Macaca mulatta: one gene and its partner. The main gene of each other region encodes a partner of the protein of the gene in region 2 in a complex. Links are inferred from orthologs where the notes say so. Each region holds a gene or a part of one and is shown on either strand. Other genes may lie near its edges. The genes, in order: MMP2 and TIMP2.

Evidence for each region.
Region 1: the proteins of TIMP2 (region 2) and MMP2 are in contact, whole or in part, in a crystal structure (PDB 1GXD), measured with the Homo sapiens proteins. The link is inferred for Macaca mulatta from reciprocal best matches to the Homo sapiens genes TIMP2 and MMP2. Residues at the interface, in NP_003246.1 of Homo sapiens: Ile162, Pro163, Cys164, Tyr165, Ile166, Pro169, Leu173, Met175, Val178, Thr179, Phe191, Arg196, Asp198, Ser200, Cys201, Ala202, Trp203, Tyr204, Arg205, Ala208, Lys211, Gln212, Glu213, Phe214, Leu215, Asp216, Glu218; in NP_004521.1 of Homo sapiens: Trp574, Lys576, Asn577, Lys579, Tyr581, Phe588, Arg590, Lys595, Asp599, Phe602, Lys604, Ile606, Ala607, Asp608, Ala609, Trp610, Asn611, Ala612, Asp615, Tyr636, Leu638, Leu645, Lys646, Ser647, Val648, Lys649, Phe650, Gly651, Ser652.

What each region holds. Positions count from the first base shown.
Region 1 is NC_133425.1:50,982,017-50,985,819, reverse strand, and holds part of MMP2 (72 kDa type IV collagenase), read right to left. Parts: intron 2,347-3,803; coding exon 2,211-2,346; intron 1-2,210.
Region 2 is NC_133421.1:88,607,025-88,611,517, forward strand, and holds the start of TIMP2 (metalloproteinase inhibitor 2), read right to left. Parts: upstream 3,098-4,493; 5' UTR 2,666-3,097; intron 2,530-2,665; exon of another isoform or gene 2,299-2,529; 5' UTR 2,232-2,298; coding exon 2,102-2,231; intron 1-2,101. UniProt on the Homo sapiens protein: Complexes with metalloproteinases (such as collagenases) and irreversibly inactivates them by binding to their catalytic zinc cofactor. Known to act on MMP-1, MMP-2, MMP-3, MMP-7, MMP-8, MMP-9, MMP-10, MMP-13, MMP-14, MMP-15, MMP-16 and MMP-19.

The DNA of each region.
Region 1 (3,803 bases), on a different chromosome or scaffold from region 2:
CCCCACCCTCACCAGTGTCTAGCAGCAATTTTTATTCGTGGTTGATGTTTAATATTTACTGGTTAATCAAACAAACCCATTAAACATTCATCAAGTTCCTTTTGAAAGAAAACTGTGATGTGGTAGGCCAGGGATGGCTCCAGCCTGGGTCTGGGCTCTGCATCCTTTCCTAGGCCCCACACATCTGAGATCTGTGTGTGCGGTCAGGGCTTTCTTAGTGGGAGGTGCTCCAGATGAAGGACATTGCCAGATCCTTACAATGAGGACTGCAGAGCAGCGCTGACATCTGCTGTTACATACCCTGGTTTGGGCATTCGAGGCCTGATGGGACCTGATTTCTCACTACATTCTAAGTCTCATCTCTCATTGCATTCTTGCCATTTCCCCATTGGCCAGCAGACCCTGTGAAGGGCAAAGCATCTGCACCCCAGAATCTGGCCCAGTGCCTAGAGTAGAGGAAATCCTTCCTGAAAGTTTATGGAACATCTTCTAGCTTCACCAGATTCTCGCTGGTTAATCCAGAAACTTTCACATCACTATGGCTTGGCTCTGCAGGTCCCTCTGTCTCAAAGAACCTCCTAACTTGTCACCCCCATCAGATTATTGCTTCTCCTTTAAAGGCTCTGCTTAAATGCTGCTGCATCTGTGAAGTCTTCCTTGACTGGGATGTGCCCACAAAAGCACCTAATGCCTCTGCGATCACTTTTCTTTGATCCTGCCATTCAGTTCTCTATATGCCTATTTCTCAAACTGTACTTGTGATGCAGACTTCAATGTGCATCAGAATCACTGGGAGAATCTGCTATGATGCAGATTCCTGGGGCCTATCCCCAGAGATTCCAGTCAGGAGGGTCTGAAGCTGGGGCAGAAACTCACCTTTTAATACTCACACTCTGGGGGCAGAAACCCACCTTTTAATCCTCACACTCTAGGTGGTTCTGTTATGGGAGGCCCACGCTCCTGTCTTTGAGAACACTGATCTAGCAGCCCCCAACCCCACTGTCCCAAGAACATCATTCTTCCTCCTCCAGCTACTAAAGCCTAGCCAAGTATTTGGCACAGTAGATGTCAAACAATTATTTGTCAATAATAATAGCTAATATGAATACACTTACTCTGTGTCAGGCATTATTTTTGTTCTCAGCGCTAAGTTCATCTAATCCTTACAACAACTCTAGGAGATAGGTTGGAATATTAGCCACATTTTATAAATGAGGAAACCAAGGTACAAAGAAGATACTTAATTAACGTGGCTATGATTATATAACCAGTAAGTAGCAAGTACAGAATTCTAACCCAGACAACCTGGCTTCAGGGTCCATTTTCTCAACTACTACGCTCTATGAATGGATAAATGGATGAATAATGAATAATGGATGGCTGGATCATAAATAATGGATAATAGATGGCTGGCTGGCTGGATGGATGATGGATGGAAAGATACAGGTATGGATAGATGGATGGATGATAGAAGAATGGAAGGACAGACCCTTTAATGAGGTCCTAGATACTGCCTGCCATTCTCCAGGGAGCTAGGACATTAGGGTAAACCTCAGCCTTTAGTCAACTGAGTGGTGATTTTTACCTATAGCAGGTAGAATACCACCTCTTTCTACTCTGCAGTCGCTCACCACCCATACACAGAGTAATCTGGCCATTTGAGGGCAACGCCATTCTAGAAGAAGGCCTGTGGTAGACTGAATTATTGTTCCCAATTCTTCCCTCCATTTCGATTTTAGGATTATGCATTCATGTACATTTCCATGTGACTTTGCAGTACCACCCTCTAGGGTAGGTGTTGGGATCTGCCATGTGATTTATTTCAGGCAGTGGAATATTCTCAGACAAGATGTGAGTAGAGGCTTTAAATGCACTTGTGTAGTTCAATTTGGCCTCTAGCACCATGTCATCTGCCATGTGTAGCTGCTAATCCCATGAGAACAACAGGCAGAGCATACCTGAACCCAAACTGAAGCTGGAAGCCAAGATAACTAGTAGACCCACAGACTATAGGAGAGCAAACAAAATGCTTGGGTGCAAAAAATCTACTGAAACCTGGAGGTTGTTTGATACACACCAGAAACCGCCTAATACAGGTCATTCTGCGAAGCACTTGGTGGGGTCTTCGGCAAAGAGTGAGGGAAAAGAATAATAGTATAAGAGCAGAGGACAGGAGACAAGGAGGACAAGAAGGAAGCTCCTGCACTCACCGGTCCTTGAAGAAGAAGATCTCACCACGGATCTGAGCGATGCCATCAAAGACAATGTCCTGTTTGCAGATTTCAGGAGTGACAGGGCCCAGCGTGGGGGTGGGGCCGGTGCCAAGGTCAATGTCAGGAGAGGCCCCTGGGGGAGAACACCTGACTTTAGACTCTCTGCAGCTGCAAAGGTTCTCCCCACCAGGCTGAGCCCCCAGGGGTGCCCACCCAATCTGCTAAGAGTCAGAAGAAATTGTCTTCTGGCCTTAGTGTAAGCTCCGTAAGATAACAAGAAGATGCCTGGACTTTGGGAGTCCTGGGGCCTTTTGTACTTTAGATTCGCTTTTTACTGATATCACCCAAATCGGTCCTCTCTATATCCCTGAGAGTGGGGTATCATTATTGCACCATTTCACAGGTGAGGAAACTGAGGCCCAGAAAAGTTGAGTGACTTGCCCAAGGACTCAAACCCAAAGCTCAGATTCTTAGACCCACAAGAGTCAGGGCAGTCAGGGGGCCACTGGTGTGTCCAGCACTGAGAGTGGGGCACTCTTCATGATAAGCAATTCTTTTAGAGATGAGGAAACTGAGTCCAAAGAGGTATAAAGACTTGCACAATATCTTGTAGCTGGTGAGAGGCAGAGGCCACGCTTGAACCCAGCACCCTTCACAGCAGACCTTGGGCTTCTTCCTGAGTCTAGCGGTCCCCAAACTTCATCACCATTTTCACTATTTTGGCCTGGCTCAGATATCACCAGGACCATTAAATATTTCTTTTTTTTTTTTTTTTGAGACGGAGTCTCACTCTGTCACCCAGGCTGGAGTGCAGTGGCCGGATCTCAGCTCACTGCAAGCTCCGCCTCCCGGGTTTATGCCATTCTCCTGCCTCAGCCTCCTGAGTAGCTGGGACTACAGGCGCCCGCCACCTTGCTCGGCTGTTTTTTTTTTTTTTTTAGTAGAGACAGGGTTTCACCATGTTAGCCAGGATGATCTCAATCTCCTGACCTCGTGATCCGCCCATCTCGGCCTCCCAAAGTGCTGGGATTACAGGCTTGAGCCACCGCGCCCGGCCGGCTAAATATTTCATTAAAAAAAAAAAACTGAACAGACTTTTTAAACTCTAGCCTCACTGTAAGCACCAACAATAAGTAAATCACTGGCTTAAGGCACTGGTTGTTCTGTTTCTATTACATACTAAAATCAAAGCTTATTATGAAAACCAGAAGCTTCCACCCGCCTACTGTTAAGGTAATTCCACATGACGGAAAATTCTGTCCTGTACTTGGCTATTCTTCTGGATTCTAAACTCCACTGGGTTGCTCAAACCTGTGTAACCTTGCACCAGGTGACCTTACTCACCTAGAAAATGGGAGAAACCCAGAAATGGAGAGCTAAGAGTGACATGGATATTAGCATTGTTCAGATAGGGAAGAGTTATCCAAGTATCCCCTTGCAGAACTGCTCTGCCTTCCCAGGACTAGGTCAACACTCCCGCTTCCTGCCCTTGTCTCCAGCACTCCTGGCTGGATGAGATCTTGCTGATCCCAACCCCTGGGCCTCCATCCCAGGCTACATGACCTCCCTCCACCCTATCCCCCACCCCCC
Region 2 (4,493 bases):
ACCCAAGAGAGAAGCCCATGTGAAGACAGAGGCCGAAATGGAAGTGATGTGTCTACAAACCAAGGAACATCAAGGAGAGAGGCCTGAAAGAGATTCTCCCTCTCAGCCTCGGAAGGAACCAGCTCTGCGGACGCCTTTTCGGACTTCTGGCCCCCTGAGCTACAGAGAATCCATTCCTGTTCTTTTAAGAATCCCGGTTTGTGGTCGTCTGTCACAGCGGCCACAGGAAGCGAATGCCCTGAGCTCTGCAGTGCACCTCTGGCATCTGACTGGGCCTCTGAGCTGGGATGGGGTGAAAAGTTTTAGCTAAAGGATGATGTTGATGCAAAGATTTAGACACAAATGCCAGGCAACCCAGGAAAAGGAGAGTGTTGTGCCAAGCATGAAGGAGGCAGGAGGCACGAACTGCAGCCCTCCGCCCTCTGCCATCCTGGATCCACACCCCACGCAGAAACAGCTCCCAGCTTAGTGGCCGCCTTAACTTATGCCAAGCAAGGACAGAGTGGCTGCCTGGACATTCTCCCACACAGCTGAGGAGTGTGTGTGTGGGTGCGGGGGGAGCGGGGAGGAGGGTCCCAAGGCCCAACTCCTACGAATCCACCTCCCAAGTCCTTCTTGCCGCAGCCTCCTTCTGGGCCTTGGCTACATCCTGCCCCACCACGTGCTGGTCAGCCCAAGAGCCTGGACAGGCCTGCATTCCCCATGGACCCCCAGAGAAAGGCCCATTATGGCTCCCTCATCAAAGGAGCCTCTCCTTCACCCCCAAATCTTGCTGAGCACCAAGGCTAAACTGGAGAAAAGACCTCATTTCCCCCAAACTGGGTTTTGTGGAAACTGTGACACAGGCACACGCCACGCCTTCCACCCATGTGGCCTGAGCCACCTGAGACCTGCGATCCCAATAGATTGGCGCAACTGAAAACTTCCCCGGCTGGGGAGGCAGCTCCCAGGGCTAACTGGGGTGGGGCAAGAAGCCGTGGGTGGGTATGGGAAGGGCGTGGCTGACAGCAGGAGAAACAGAAACTCCCACCTCCAGTCTGGGCAGGTGAGGGGCCCCCGCCTTGCTCCATCTGCCCTGGACAGGCCACTCGACTGAGACTCAGACATAAGGAGGAAGGAGGGCAGGGGGCTCTGAGACCACTTGCTGTGTAGCCAGACTTGTCCCAGGAAAACCATGCTGACCAGCACCAGTGCTGCAGAGGCTTGAGGTGTAGGACCAGGGTGGAAACTTCGGGCCAGCGGGTTCCTCCCATTTCTGCTGGTCCTCCATGGATCAGAACAAATAACTGGGCCCCTCCTCCCTCCCTCCATGGCGCCTGTCTTTTGGGGGCTAGGAGTCCTGAGGTCATGGGTATTTGCTGGGGAATCTCAGCCACACAGTCCCACGTGCCGGGTCCAGTCATCAAAGTCTCCAGCTTTTGTGGACGTCCCGAAAAAGCGGAACATTCGGGGGTCCCGGTCCCTGCCCAGCCAGTTTGCAGGGCCTCCTGGGCAGGGCACGAAAAAGGAGCCAGGCCAGGGGACGCCACTGGCTTTTCTCACCTGTCCCTCTGGGCCTGTGGAACCTGCCTCGGGTAGGGCGGGCTTCCATCTCATCCTGGCTTGATCGGGGAGCCCCCAAATGGGGCTGGTGGGAGAAGCCCCGCAGAGAAGCCCTTCCCCACCCAGCCCCAAGCCCAAAGAAGCCCAACTCCCACCTTATCTGCGAAAGTTTCTTCCTGGGGTCCCCAGTCCTCCAGCCCCCCGCCCCCACGCCGTGTCCCCCACGCTCCCTGCCCCCAGCGCTGGCATCCCAGGGTGCGCCGCCTGCCAAAAGCCAAACTGGCTCCCTTTCCTGGGGCTGGAGCTGCGGCGGAATTTCGGTGGAATTTTGAGGTTGAGACGCATCTCGGCAAAGAGAGGGAAAGAAAGGGAGAGGAGGGAGGGGTGAAAGAAAGTCGGCTCTGGGCGTCCACTTGCAAGATTCGAGAAGACGCCGAGGGACCAGGAGGCGGGCGCTGTGGTCCCTCGGCCAGCGGCGGGCGGGCGGGGCGTCCGCGAACCCACGGGGGTCGTGGGGGAGGTGGGGCCCCGCGCGGGGGCGGGGGTCGCCGCTCCTTACCTACATCTGCATTGCAAAACGCCTGTTGCGGGTGCACCGGGGAGCAGCTGCAGGCGTCGGCCGGGCGAAGCAGCGTCGCCAGCAGCAGGAGGCCGAGCGCCAGCCGCAGGGTGCGGGCCGCGGCGCCCATGGCGGGCCGGGGGGCTGGGCGGGCGGGGGCCGCCGCCGGGGGTCCGGGCGCTGCTCGCGGCGGCGGGCTGGGGGCGCGGGCGGGGGCTGAGCCGGGGCCGAGGCGGGCCCCTCCCGCGCGGCTCACCCTCCTCACCTGCCCCTCTCGGCCGCGCAAACTTTCTCTCCTCTTTGTCTCGGGGGCGCGAGGGGAGGGGCGCGGGGCGCAGTTCGCCGGGCGGGGCGGCGGGGTGGGGGGCGGCGGGCGAGCGGCGCTGCGGCTCCCGGCGGCCGCGCTGCCTTCTACGGATGTGTTTGCTGCGGGCTCGGGCCGTGCCGCCGTTTTATTGCGCTCGGAGGATTTTCTGCTCCTCCTCCCGGTGGCTGGCGGCCAATGCAGGCTCCGGGCGCTCCCAGCAGCCCCCTCCTCCCCCTCCGCCCGCGCCTCCCCCCAGCCCGCGCTTTTGTTGTGCCCGGCCTGGCACGTCGGGGGCTTCCCGCACCACCTGGCGCCCGCGGCCCACACCCGTGCGGGGGTCCCCGGACGCCCCCAGCCCCCCGACCCCTGTCCCCGCTGGGTGGCCTTCTGCGCCCGGGGGCCCTGACTCAGCGCGTGGGACTCGCGCCCCGTCCCTCCAGGGCACCGGGCCACCCACCCGCCACCCTTTCCCCTCCAGCTCGACTCTGGAGTGCTACGCTGCTCCGTCCCCCGCCACCCCGGGGTCCCTTCGAGCTCAGCCTCGAGGCGAGCCAAGGGGTGTCCTTTGGAGCAGGGGCCGTTCCCTATCGCCGCCTCCCCGTTCCTGTGGGCGGGTGGCCAATTGAGAAACAGACAGGATCCCTTTTTCAAATGGAGGCCTTAGAATTTCAAGTGCGCCTGGCCAGTTTAGTTGGGGGGTGGGGGTGTGGTTACTGTGAACAAAACAGGATTTTATATAAACTGGCCATATTTTTGACCAGCCAACAAGAGACGGGGGTGGGCCCAGGCGCCCAGGAGCCAGTAGGATCGCAGCAGAGGCATTGGCTGGGCTCCGCTCACAGTTTCCTCTCTTAGCCCACAAATGTGGGAGCCGAAGGACTTTTCCCAAAACAGTTTTGTGTTCCAGGAAAGACCCAGGCATATGAAGGGATGAACATGTGTAGGGTGGTGAGGCGGGCCTCCTGGCTGTGAACCTGCCTGCGCCCGGCTGCGGGCACCCACCCTGCACATCCGGTGTGTGCCCCGAGGGGCTCCGTGGACACTGCTGCACTGAGATCAGCATTCCAGGGTGTTTACAGTCCAGCTAGGGAGATGGAAGCCTAGGAAAATGACACAAGAAGAATCAGGGCGGGCACGGTGGCTTGCGCCTGTAATCCCTGCACTTTGGGAGGCCCAGACGGGAGGATCACTTGAGGCCAGGAGTTTGAGACCAGCCTGGCCAACATTTAGTAGAGACAGTGAAACCCCGTCTCTACTAAAAATACAAAAATTAGCCTGGTGTGGTGGTGCACGCCTGTAGTCCCAGCTACTCAGGAGGTTGAGGCAGGAGAATCGCTTGAACCCAAGAGGCGGAGGTTGCAGTGAGCGGAGATGGCGCCACTGCACTCCAGCCTGGGCGACAGAGCAAGACTCCGTTTAAAAAAAAAGAGCAGAATTGTCCGCTAAACTGTGCAGTGCTGACTTGAGGTATGAAATTTTGGAAAATAGTGAAAGAATGGAAAAACAGCTTCTTTCTGTTTGTGTATGCTTTGTAACAGCTCTGAGAAAAGTTAAATAAGCAGAGCCGTTATTTTTAGCACCCTGACAAATCCAAAGTCACTTTTTCAGTTTTTGTTAGCGTGAAATAGAGTTGTGTCGTTCACAAAATGATGTTTGAAGCTAACGTTTAAAAGTACAGTTAATTCAGAAAATTGTTATGTGCTGGCTGCCTGCAACCATTTCATTGTTTTCTTTCCTTCTTTTTGGTTACAAGGAGAACAAAATGCGGTTGAGCTTGTGTTTCAATTTGTCAGTTCATGATAGAAACAGGTAGCTTAGGGGCTCTCGGTCTTTTAGACAAGCTCTACACATAAATGATCAGGTACATGTTAGGGTGATAAATACTTAGAGCAGCCGTGGTGCCTACAACCAAGGGGGCGGGGCCAATATGGATGTACCTGGGAGGAAAGGCGGGCCTGGGCTCCAGGGTCAGGGGGCATGAGACTGGAACTTCCAACCCAAGGCCTCGCACCTGCGTCCTGGACTGCCCTCCCCGAAGACATCCGCACCAGCACACAAACAGGCTGGAATTGCTCCCAGGAAAAG